Ovis aries: one gene and its partner. The protein of the gene in region 1 interacts with the protein of each later gene in a pairwise test. Links are inferred from orthologs where the notes say so. Each region holds a gene or a part of one and is shown on either strand. Other genes may lie near its edges. The genes, in order: CYTH1 and ITGB2.

Evidence for each region.
Region 2: the proteins of CYTH1 (region 1) and ITGB2 interact in a two-hybrid assay, tested with the Homo sapiens proteins (2 studies listed by BioGRID). The link is inferred for Ovis aries from reciprocal best matches to the Homo sapiens genes CYTH1 and ITGB2.

What each region holds. Positions count from the first base shown.
Region 1 is NC_056064.1:52,903,036-52,909,695, forward strand, and holds the start of CYTH1 (cytohesin-1), read left to right. Parts: upstream 1-2,149; 5' UTR 2,150-2,230; coding exon 2,231-2,252; intron 2,253-6,660. UniProt on the Homo sapiens protein: Promotes guanine-nucleotide exchange on ARF1, ARF5 and ARF6. Promotes the activation of ARF factors through replacement of GDP with GTP.
Region 2 is NC_056054.1:265,485,097-265,491,206, reverse strand, and holds part of ITGB2 (integrin beta-2 precursor), read left to right. Parts: intron 1-4,533; coding exon 4,534-4,714; intron 4,715-5,703; coding exon 5,704-5,874; intron 5,875-6,041; coding exon 6,042-6,110.

The DNA of each region.
Region 1 (6,660 bases):
AGGAGCCTGGTGGCTACAGTCCACGGAGCTACAAAGAGTTGGACACAACTGAGCATGCATATGTTGTCAAGTACATTTTACGTCCCTACCCAGTGCATTCATTTACAACCAAACCAAACATTATCCTTACGGTACAAGGTGGATGCTGATTCTCTTTTATTCTATCTTCTCTTCCTTCAATGGAGATTGGTTTTTCAACCATTCAGAGTCAGGACCTGCCACTGGAAAACACTGTTGTAATGAAACAATGTAAGTTAAGGGGATTTGTTTACAGTCAAAAACCAGGCTAATCGAAGTGATTAGCATTCATGCCCTTCCCATCCAAAGGTTTGGGAGTTCAGATCACAGGGAGAATTAACCTGTGGCCTCAGTTGCTTTTCTGCCCAAGTTTTGGTCATCGAGCAAGAGTTATGTAAAATCAATGAAGATTAAACTCTTAGGTCCACCAGAATCAAGCTTCTATGGATAAGATAATCTCTGTGAGGGAAGTGTCTGATTTCTGGAGCTATTGGAAAGAAACACTTGCCTAAGGAAATAAAGCCCATCTTCTTGGACATACGGGAGACATCAAGCTTCACCGTCAAAGCCTGGGTCCGACAGCTCAGGGAGTAACAGGGATATTTTTGTTTGTGAATGCACAGTTTTCCTAGCCACCAGAAGGGTGGGCCAGAGCTGCACCCTGATGGAATGTGAAGATTGGGATCCCTTAGACTGATAATGTTGGAATCCATCTCATCAAACAAAAACATTGTCAGCTGTGCTGAAGTCAAGCAGAAGACAGCAACAGATCACAGATCAGTACTGGGCAGGAGCCTGGATTTTATAGGCAGATGCTTCATTTCACGGGTGTGAGACAGGTCCAGGGGGCTGAGGTATTTGCCCAGATCACAGAGCTAATAGGAAGCAGATGTGGAAAGAAAACCTAGAGTTTCCTCATTCATTTACTCCTTTTCCATGAGAGGAAAGGGACTTTCCTTTGTTGTCTACCGGGAGGCATGTTTTGGAACGGTCTGTAAGGAAACAGACTGCTGAGAAGGGTCACAACTCCCCCTGATGGAGATATTCCCTGACATTTCAGGGGCATTGCCAGGACCTTGGGCTGAGCTCTTCTCCCGCAGCACCCCCAGTACAGCACATTGTGCTAGGGGGTCCAGGGTCATGCCCCCCAGGAGGGTCCTGGACCATCCCTGTGTGATCCTTCCAAATGACACACTTATAATTTTTATGTGTAGCACCAAATCAAGAAAGAGCATATCCATCCAGGAACAAGTAAAAAAGCAGCATTTTCGTTTATTTTTCTGAATTAAAAATTGGTGATGTCCCCACCTCCAGGTGCAGAACTACTGCCCAGGCTCCTCAAAGGGCAGCTCAGTCTAACCAGTGGGTGGGGATTGGTCGGTCAGCCCAGTGCAGGCAAATAAAACATGTAAGGCACAGCCTAGAAACGTATGAATCCAACAGTCGCAGGAATCAAGGTCACCAAAATCCTGACATGCTGTGAGGCTGAGGTGCCTCTCTTTGAAATTTGATCGGGGTACATTCAGAGGACAAAGAAAAGGAAGTATATAAAGGCAATGAACTCATGACATTCACGGTGCTAAGGTTCAGACTGCAGAAATAATGAACTCAAAATATTCTGGTATTCGGCCAAGGACTAGCAGGACCTGTGAAACTAACGTCAGCGAGGACCACCCTGCCCTTGAGTGGCCGGACACGACCTTGGTACCTCTGTGGGCGGCTGGGCTCTGGTCTGTTTCCCAGGCCTGCGCCACCCTTAGGAAATCCGAAACCTGCTGGGCCCCCGGAGGCGGCCGAGGCGGGGCCTCGGGTTGGGGCGTGGTCAGAGGCGGGGCCTCGGCGCCCGGGGCCAGCCAGAGGGGCGGGGCCTCGGCGGGCGCGCGTACGCAGTCCTGGGCAGAGTAGAGGACGCGGCCCCAGGGGTGCGCGCGCGGGCGACGGGGGCGGGGCCGCAGGCCCGGGGGCGGGGTCTGGGCGGGCGCGCGTGCGCAGGCGCGGGTCGGGAGGCGGCCGCGTGCTGGGCTCTGTGTGTGTGTGTGTGCGCGCGCGCGCAGGCCGCGGGCGGGGCGCCCCGCGGGGGACGAGGGGCGGGCGGCGGGCGGCGGGCTTGGGGCCGGGGGCGGGGCTCTGAGACTCGCCGGGCGAACGGGGCCGGGAGCTGCGGGACCTGGGGCGAGCGGCGAGCCCAGGCGCGGAGCCTGGCGCCGGCACCATGGACGAAGACGACAGCTACGGTCAGTACGGCCCTCGGTCCGGCCGGCGGACGCCCCCTCCCTTCCTCCCTTCACCGGCCCGGCGCCTTGGCCGCGCCTCAGGCGACTCACGTTTCCCGGGGACTGTGGTGCCGGACGCGAGCCGGGCGGGGCGGGGGCCTCCTCAGGGCAGGGGGCACCGGGGGCCCCGAGTGTTAAAGGCTGAGGGGTGATGAGGGGCCGACGTCGGGGTGCACGGGTCTCGGGGGCCGGCGCTGGGGGTCGCCGGGCTCCAGTCTCTGGGGCCGCAGTCGTAGGACCGGGGTCTCGGGGCCTGAGTCTCCGAGGCGGAAGTCCTCCAGGGTGAGGGTCTGTCTCGAGGCCGGGGTCTAGGGCGGGGTTCAGAGGAGGGTCTCGGGGTCCGGGTCTCGGGCGGGGGTCTCGGGCCGCTGTCCCGCGCAGGCCCAGCCTCCCCCGCGAACGCTCAAGTTCCCCCGGCCGTTCTCCGTAGTTTCCGGCCCCTTCGGTGCTGGCAAGTTATGTACCCTGGTCCATGTCTTTGTTCAGAAACAAAAATGAGAAAACACAGGCAGCGAACCCCGAGTGGACAGGCTGCCACCTGACGGTGCCGTCGGGGCCGGGATCTCCTGCCGCCGGCCACCCCAGGGTCCGAGGCTGACCGCCTCTCCGCGGAAACGGGGCTGCTGTTCCCCCAGCGCCTGCGGGGCGAGCCCGAGGGGCGCCGAGAAACCCAACTTTGCCTTCTCATCTGTGCCCAGAGACGCGGCACAGCCCTCACGCCACACCGACAGCGAACGCTTGACAAAACTACCCGTTTCCAAAGCCTCCTTCTGCTGACCTCACCTGGGAACTGTTGGCCATCCGCAGGGCATTCGTCTGTCAAATGGCTTCAGATTGCCAGGCTGGCAGAAGGCTATGTGGAATGCTTTCGTTAATTTATTTAACGTTTTATTCCCAAGAGATGAAAGAATGGCAGATAGAACAAGTGGTGAAGTTTTGTGGTTTGGTAAGCAGAGTACAGACAGCAGTTTGAAATGCTTGTGTGGCTTAGTGGAAGCGAATCCGCTTTCTTGACTAAGTGACATAGGCGACGTTTGTTTCTTAAGCTCTGAGGGAGCAAGCTTTGTTGTGGGGTATGTTAAAATGTGAAAGGTGAAGCACCTTGTTACTTTTCTGTTTGTTTACGAGTAAGTCATTGAGGAACCACTGACCGCAATAGGTGGGTTTATGACCCACAGTGGCAGACAGGGGAAAGGCCAGAGCACGTGGGATCGGTGTCCATCAGATGTCCCCTGGTTACCTTCCAAGTAAAAGCAGTGTGTGCTTTTCCTCTGTGATTGAAAAAAGAGAAAACACCCACGATTGATCCCAAAGGACTTTTCAGCCCCACTTAGGTGTCTGTTTCTGCCCACCCAGGAGAAGCCTTCTCCAGCTTTGCGTGCTCCTGTACCATCTCTTGCTGTTTAATCCAGGCTTTCTTCATGCCCTCTCCTGGTGGTCTTACCCACCGCTCGAGGCAGGAAGCTGTTGGTCTGGTTGCTTTGAACACAATGACTGCTTTGCCACCAGGCATGGCATGAATTCGTGCTCAGAAAGGGTGAATGGAAGCAGGGTGTATTTGTTTCCTGTGGCGGCTGTAACAGATTGGCACAAACAACATAAACTTGTTATCTTACAGTTCTGGAGGTCAGAAGTCCAAATTTGGTCTCACTAAGCTAAAATCAAGGTGTTTACTGGGCTGTGTTCCTTTCTGGAGGTCCTAACAGGAACATCTGTTTCCTTGCCTCTTCCAGCTTCTAGAGACTGCCCCCGTTCCTTGGCTGCTGGCTGCCTTCCACCTTCAGAGTCAGCAGGTAGCATCTTCTCAGTTCTGTCTGGCTTCTGCCTCTTCTAGTTAGGGCTCTGTGACGCCATTGGACCCACCTGATAAGGATAAGGATCAGCAGCCTTAGTTCTCCAATGGTAACCCCCTTTTTGCCACGTAGGGGCGGCGTGTTTCCAGGTTCTGGGATTAGGACAGGGCTATCTCTGGGGCCCATTATTCTGCTGACCACACATAAAGATGAGGAAGAAGTTGTTCTTTTCTTTCTGTTTGTACAATTAAAAAAAAAACATATTCTTCGTATATTGGAGGAAGCAGAAAGGTTGATTTAAAGATTTCCCCCACTCATTGGGTTTACCACACAAAAAGTACCTAATGGTTCAAGATGATCATAACAAGAAAAAGGTTCCTAGTTCTTTTTAAGGTTTGCCTCAGTCTCCAGAACTTTCCATTTCTCTCCTAGGTTTTACAGAGAATTTACCTCAAAAGATAAGACAACTATTCACATTCCACCTTTCAAACTAAAGTGGGTGCTGTGGACTCAAACAGTGCATAGAATGCCAGGTCCAGGGGGTTCCCTCGGAACCTCCATTGGTGGTTCATGAGTCAGCCTAGGTCACTACCATGATTTTTTAACATTGTATCTTTGGGGACAGGGTTTATGATTTCCATGCTATCACCTTGCTAGATAAAACCTTTGAAGCATAACTCATTTATAATAAGCTAAAGAAAGAGAATGTGTCTTAGAGTTTCTCTGTTCAACGAAAGAGAATTTTGAAAACTCACCAGAAGGCTTTTCCTAACTGCATACTCTTTGATGTTCTGTGCTGACCCAGAAACCACACCACTGAGTTCAGCAGCCCTTTCTCTTGTTCACTCCCTGTGATCCTGAGTTGTTTATTTGGTCTAGTTGTAATGCACTAGATCCATACAGCATAGTTCAAACTACACATGTGGTGTGATAAACCAGACTGTGAACACCTGTGTGAAGTGGGGGGGAGGTTAAACAAAAGTCAATTTAAAGCATTTTTTTTTCTTTTAAGAAAAATGTGGAATTAGTGGTTTTCTAAAAGCTTAATTGACACTTTAAGAAAGATGTTCCTAATGCTTGTGGCTGGCTGGTCTTTATCCCCGCCCCCCCTTCTTTCTAAACCCTGAAATAGTTGGGATTTTTGGGGGGTCATTTTACGTTCTTATTAGATGACTGTACTTCCTGGATGTCACAGTTCTCACTTGTAAAAGGAAGAGGTATTTTTACCTTCATAGCGTTCCCTGCCCACGAAAGGACTCAGTGACTGTATTCCTTTTTGTTACTTCTGAATTCAAGCAGACATTTTTAACACGCAGTCTGCTTCTTAATGGGCTTTCAGGCCCCTCTGAGATTGTATGTGAGAGTTTGTGAACGTGCATTTTTGGAGAGTCCTTTGCTTTAATTCAGTTCTCGAACGGCTCTGACTCTTGGAACTGCTGCTCCAGAGGTTTGCCTGCCTCTCTCTTACAAAAGGTCTTGAGGTAGAGATGGGCAGGGTCCATCCAGTAGTAACATCGGAAATGTTAGTGGTGATGATTCTATATCACGACTCTGACGAAATAATCGGATTTCTGAGCATAGGTTCTTAAGATCCCTGAACCCATGTGCTGTTCAAGACCTTTACTTCCCAAATACAGACCTTACTCCTCTCAGCTTTTATTAGCTTCGGCTTATCCCTTTTCTGCTGCATGAGGGAGAAGAAGCCTTTAAGAAATAAGCCTCTCTTGAGAGAGTGGAGATGTTGATCTTAACCAGGCATACCTGGCATCCTCAGATGATAAAAGTGCGGTGTGGGCAGTGGTATGCATAGGCAGTGGCATGCATGGGTGCTGCTGCAGGACTGTGCGTGGGAGCCTATTGCGTCCAGGAGAGATTTGCTGTTTGGTCTTTGTGCCTTAAGAACAAGCGTGGCCTGGTACCCAGTGGAAGCAGCTCAGTGACTCTGGAAGGAATAATAGATTGAGCCAGTTTCTGTGTGGCAAAAGTTAACATTTGCTGAACTTGAATTTTTCTCTTCCCCCCGATCCCAAACAGAAACTAGAACACTTTTATGAATGTGCTTGACCCTATGCCAAACCAGTTTTCTTCATTTTTCTATGATATTGATGACTTTCATTGTTCCCAAGTGTAGTTCCACTCTTAGTGATTTGCATTTATTGAAAAGGATACAATTACATAAAGTCAGGGTTTCTTAGAAAATCTGGAACACAAGGTTACCATAATTACACACTTTGTGGTCTATAAGGTAGATTTCCAGGGGTGACATTAACATGTCAGAGGATATAAACATTTTGGGAATTCTTGATGGGTGGTGTCAATTTGCTTTTTCAAAAGGCTGTATCAGGCTACCCTGTTCTTAGCGATATATGGGGGTATGTGTTCCAGTATCACTACCAGTGTGCCGCTGGTGAGGATTAGCATATGAAAGCTTTTTTAAAGAAAACTAATTTAATGGTTACAAAATGGTTCCTCATTATATCTGTTGATTACTGGCTAGGTTAAAAAATTTCTTTTGTCTATTTGTGTATTATGACCTGTATTATGGCTGTTCATGTGAGATAATGGTTCATCGATTT
Region 2 (6,110 bases), on another chromosome or scaffold:
GCAAAGGCCCAGTGCAGCCAAAATAATAAATAAGTAAAATAAATAAAAAGACAGACTTATACACCTTGGACAAATTTTGCCAAGTGTTCCAATAATGTCTTTGCTCTCATCCCTGCCTCACTGGCCAATATTATAATCCAGGATCGCACATTGCGTGTGAATGTCTCTTTATCTCCTCAAACCTGGAACTCTCCTCGGATTTCTTTGTCTTTCTCATCCGTGACATTTCTCAGGAGTGCAGAACAGCACTTCTGCAGAAGGTCCCGCGTGTGGGTTTGTCTGGTGTTCCCTCTGACACGGCCTGGGGTGGGCCTTTCAGCAGGAACCCCGTGCAGACCTCCTGCTGTCCTTCTGTGCGGGCGATGGCAGCCTAGACCACTCGGCGGAGGGAAACGTCTGCCAGGCGCTCCGCCGTGATGTCAGTATTTCCCCTTTGCAATTAGTAATTTGTGGGGAGATACTCTGAAGCCGGGGAGCATTCTACTTCCCTTGAAGCCTACACCCACTCACTCTACCGTCCATCAGCTGATGGGAGCTCGAATCAGTTGTCACTGGGATGGTTGCAGAACGGTGGCACTCCTGTTCATGACTCCCTCCAATGGCTCCTAACGTAAGAGGAATATTTCCTTCCTGCAATCTCCTTCTCTCTTTCTCATCGGTGTGGACCCATAGATGTTTCTGTTACTCCGCAGTTTATAAGGTATCACTTTCACTTTGTCATTTTGAAGCTCAAATTGTTCCCCATTTGGCCATGGGAGCCCCGGGGCTAGCCCTGTGCCCGACTAGCATACCCCAGTATCACTTCCTGAGCTCTCTCTCTGGGATCAGCAGGCGCTCCTGGCCCCTTGGCACTTGCCTGGCCCCCACCAGAGGGTTCCTGGTTCCCTTCATGAGAAGCCAGGCTCCCAACATTCACAGTACATTTCCCCATTTCCTCCTCCTTTGACTCTGGGGAAGTGGTTACAGAGTTGCTACCCTTAGCACTGCAGGGAGGAGATGGGTGTGGTCTGCGTGCTCTTCTGTTACCAGCAAGCAGTCACAGTCCAGCTTGCAAAGTCCCTCCTCAGGGTGGGTTTCTCCCTTCCCTCCTGTGAGCTTCTTGTTTGCATCTGAAATGCAGTTAGGTTAAACTGCTTCTGAGCACATTCCATTTTAGGGATTTCTTCCCTCCCCATTCCTGTTAATTTTATTTCCCTAATACTTAAAGTGGGCTTCCCAGGTGACTCAGTGGTAAAGAATCTGCCTGCCAACACAGGAGATGCAAGAGATGCTGGTTCTATCCCTGGATCAAGAAGATCCCCAGAAGGAGGAAATGGCATCCCACTCCAGTGTTCTTGCCTGGAGAACCCCATGGACAGAGAAGCCTGGTGGGCTACAGTCTATAGGGTTGCAAAGAGTCAGACTCGGCTGAGCCACTAAGCACGCTCGCAGGCACGCAGCAGTTAAAGCATTACTAGGGCCTCAAAAGATCATGGCATCTGGTCCCATCACTTCATGGGAAATAGATGGGGAAACAGTGGAAACAGTGTCAGACTTTATTTTTTTGGGCTCCAAATCACTGCAGATGGTGACTGCAGCCATGAAATTAAAAGACACTTACTCCTTGGAAGAAAAGTTATGACCAACCTAGATAGCATATTAAAAAGCAGAGACATTACTTGGCCAACAAAGGTCTGTCTAGTCAAGGCTATGGTTTTTCCAGTGGTCATGTATGGATGTGAGAGTTGGACTGTGAAGAAAGCTGAGCGCCAAAGAATGGATGCGTTTGAACTGTGGTGTTGGAGAAGACTCTTGAGAGTCCCTTGGACTGCAAGGAGATCCAACCAGTCCATTCTGAAGGAGATCAGCCCTGGGATTTCTTTGGAGGGAATGATGCTGAAGCTGAAACTCCAGTACTTTGGCCACCCCATAAGAAGAGTTGACTCATTGGGAAAGACTCTGATGCTGGGAGGGATTGGGGGCAGGAGGAGAAAGGGACGACCGAGGATGAGATGGCTGGATGGCATCACCTACTCGATGGACATGAGTCTGAGTGAGCTCCAGGAGTTGGTGATGGACAGGGAGGCCTGGCGTGCTGTGATTCATGGGGTCGCAAAGAGTCGGACACGACTGAGCGACTGAACTGATCTAACTGAGGGTCTCAAAAGTGAAGACAGTACAGAGGCAGCTCAGGAAGCACCGCCCCTCTAATGGCCATGTCCCTTTAGTCTGGCCCTGCCCCCTGAGCTCTCTGGCCTCCTTGTTGGTTGTTCAGGGGCTCCATCATGTCTGACTCTGTGACCCCATGAACTGCAGCACAGCAGGCTTCCCTGTCCTTCACCATCTCCCAGAGCTCGCTCAAACACATGTCCATTGAGTCTGTGATGCCATCTCGTCCTTTGTCGTCCCCTTCTCCTCCTGCCTTCAATCTTCCCCTGCACCAGGGTCTTTTCTAATGAGTCAGTTCTTTGTATCAGGTGGCCAAAGTATTGGACCTTCAGCTTCAGCATCAGTCCTTCCAATGAATATTCAGGCTTGATTTCCTTTAGGATTGACTGGTTTGATCTCCTTGCAGTCCAAGGGACTCTCAAGAATCTTCTCCAACACCACAGTTCAAAAGCATCAATTCTTCAGCTCTCCGCCTTCTTGATGGTCCAACTCTCACATCCATACATGACTACTGGGAAAACCATAGCTTTGACTATACACAACTTTGTCAGCAAAGTAATGTCTCTACTTTTTACTGTGCTGTCTAGGCTGGTCATAGCTTTTCTTCCAAGGAGCAAGTGTCTTTTAATTTCATGGCTACAGTCACCATCTGCAGAGATTTTGGAGCCCAAGAAAATAAAGTCTGTCACTGTTTCCCCATCTATTTGCCATGAAATGATGGGACTGGATGCTATGATCTTAGTTTTTTGAATGTTGAGTTTTAAGCCAGCTTTTTCACACTCCTCTTTCACCTTCATCAAGAGGCTCTTTAGTTCTTCTTCACTTTCTGCCATAAGGGTGGTGTCATCTGCATATTTGAGGTTACCGATATTTCTCCTGGCAATCTTGATTCCAGCTTGTGCTTCATCCAGCCTGGCATTTCACATGATGTATTCTGCATATAAGTTAAATAAGCAGGGTGACAATATATAGCCTTGATGTACTCCTTTCCCAATTTGCAACTAGTCCATTGTTCCATGACTGGTCCTAACTGTTGCTTCTTGACCTGCATATAGACTTCTCAGGTGGCAGGTAAGGTGGCCTGGTATTCTCATCTCTTTAAGAATTTTCCAGTTTGTAGTGATCCCTATACAGTCAAAGGCTTTAGCGTAGTCAGTGAAGCAAAAGTAGATATTTTTCTGGAATTCTCTTGCTTTTTCTATGATCCTAGGTATATTGACAGTTTGATCTCTGGTTCCTCTGCCTTTTCTAAATCCAGCTTGAACATCTGGAAGTTCTCAGTTCATGTACTGTTGAAGCGTAGCTTGGAGGATTTGTAGCATTACTTTGCTAGCATGTGCTGCTGCTGCTGTTGCTAAGTTGCTTCAGTCGTGTCCGACTCTGTGCGACCCCATAGACGGCAGCCCACCAGGCTCCCCTGTCCCTGGGATTCTCCAGGCAGGAACACTGGAGTGGGTTGCCATTTCCTTCTCCAATGCATGAAAGTGAAAAGTGAAAGTGAAGTTGCTCAGTCATGTCTGACCCTTAGCAACCCCATAGACTGCAGCCTACCAGGTTCCTCCATCCATGGGAGTTTCCAGGCAAGAGTATTGGAGTGGGTTGTCACTTCCTTCTCCGTGCTAGCGTGTGAGATGAGTGCAATTGTGCAGTAGTGTGAACAGTCATTGGCATTGCCTTTTGGGATTGGAATAAAAACTGACCTTCTCCAGTTCTGTGGCCACTGCTGGGTTTTCCAAATTTGCCAGTGTGTTGAGTGCCTCCTATGAGGCCTCCTGTCTGGTTGTTATCCCCTAGTCTCCCACTGGGAGGAAGCCGGACCCACCGATGCAGCCCCTTGGTTCTCCCTGCCACAGCGACATCCAGGGAGCCTTCATGAGGGCAAAGTGGTCACGAGGAAAATGCCCTGTACCCAGGACCCCCACGCTCCCCCCTGTCTTTTCCTTCTGATCTGCTTGGCCCAGAGCCCTGTCCTCTATTCCAGGTTCCCAGGGTGCCTAGGCACTAACTGGTGGGCCAAGAGGGGCACCTGCGTTCCATCAGGAGAGAGCCGCTCCCTGCCAGCAAGGCACTGCTGAGGAAGGGGTTGAAAACCTGGGCCGGATGCTCGATTGGCCATGGAGGGTACCCATGGGTCCACCTGGAGCTGAGATGCTGGCCTTGAGCCGCTTCCACTGCTAGAGACTGTGGGGAGACGCCCACTGGCGCCAGGCTCTCCTGCAACCCCGAGCCTTGTGAAGAGGCTGCCCAGCAACCCCCATCCCTGCCTCCCCACCCAGGGACTTCTTCCTGAACAGTGGGGCAGATGAGGGGGTCAGCCTGGCAAGGCACCCACAGCGTAGGCTCCCATATTTCCTCTGTGCTACCCCTGACCCCTGCCTCCCCCAGAACTTCACAGGGCAAGGGGAGCCCGACTCCACTCGCTGTGATACACGGGCGCAGCTGCTGTCGAAGGGCTGCCCAGCTGATGACATCATGGAACCCAAGAGCCTCGCTGAGACCCGGCAGAGCCAGGCGGGCAAACAGAAGCAGCTGTCCCCAGAGGAAGTGACTCTCTACCTGAGACCAGGTAGGCTTGGCTGGCTAGGGGTGGGCCAGCCCTGATGGCGCATGTATCCATGTGTCCCTGCCCCAGGAGGATGTTCCCAACGCCCCGTCTGCAGCTGGTGCCTAGTCTCGCTTTTAGCGCTGAGTTCTGCATCCTAAAAAAAGGGAGAATAAACCATCTGAAAAACACTCCTGTATCCCTCCCTCAGAAGATGAGGTATTTTTGGCCGAGTGAAGGCTCTGATAAGGCCTGTAAACTAGGAACCCAAGTAAACCTTTGAATCAGTGTAGCCCACCTGACTTGACCACAGACCCAGGTTTAGGACACAGCTCCCTGTTAGCACTCCAAGAAACACCCTTCAGGAAGGTGGCTTGGTGGAGCAGCAGGGGGTTATGGTGAATGGGCCTGGGCAGGGCTGGGGCGGCCACATCGGGGAACTGATGCTGGAAGGCGGCTGGCAGAGGGGACTTGATTGTCACGGCTTTGTCGAGCACCAGCTGTGTGCCAAGCACCTACCTGAGAGCTGGGGACACAGGCTATTTGTACTGACAAGGAAAGAAGTCATTACAAGTGCAGGCGGTGATTAAGACGACGAGGAGCAGAAACCAGGGCGGCTGTGATTGAGGAAGGAGAGGGGGGGTGTTCCCAGGATGGCCAGGGAGCCCTTTTGGGCACCAGCAGGTTTGCCTAGCGGCTGGTGGTAGAGAAGGCCTTGCCGGGGAGACCCAGAGAGATCCAGGTGGAACTGAATCTCAACAGTGCTGGATAAACAATGAGCACTTCTTCTATCTTCTTGTATCCAGCACACCTTGTATCCAGATGGTCTTCTATGTCAGAACGTGCGCTTTACCTGAAATCGGGACCTGAATAGGCTTCCTGCATTTTATCCACCAGCCTCAAAGAATGGGGGAGTCCTGAGGGTTCTGAGGCCTGCAGAGGCATCAGTGCCCCCCAAACCCCCCACCCACAGACCAGGTGGTACACCCTGACTCTCTCCCAAATCCTGGCAGGTCAGGCAGCTGCGTTCAACGTGACCTTCCAGAGGGCCAAGGGCTACCCCATCGACCTGTACTATCTGATGGATCTCTCCTACTCCATGGTGGACGACCTTGCCAACGTCAAGAAGCTGGGGGGTGACCTGCTCCGGGCCCTCAATGACATCACCGAGTCGGGCCGCATTGGTGAGGCAGCTACTCCATCTTGCCCTGAACTCCCAAGCCCTGGTCCCAGGCACCTCTGCACCTCTGCACCTCTGCACCCCGAGGGCATGGTGCCAGGCCCCTCCCCACATGCTGGGCCTTCCTACCCCGCTCTGGTAAGAGGCTCACGGCCCCCCACTGTCCCCCAGGTTTCGGGTCCTTCGTGGACAAGACAGTGCTCCCCTTCGTCAACACGCACCCCGAGAAGCTGAGGAACC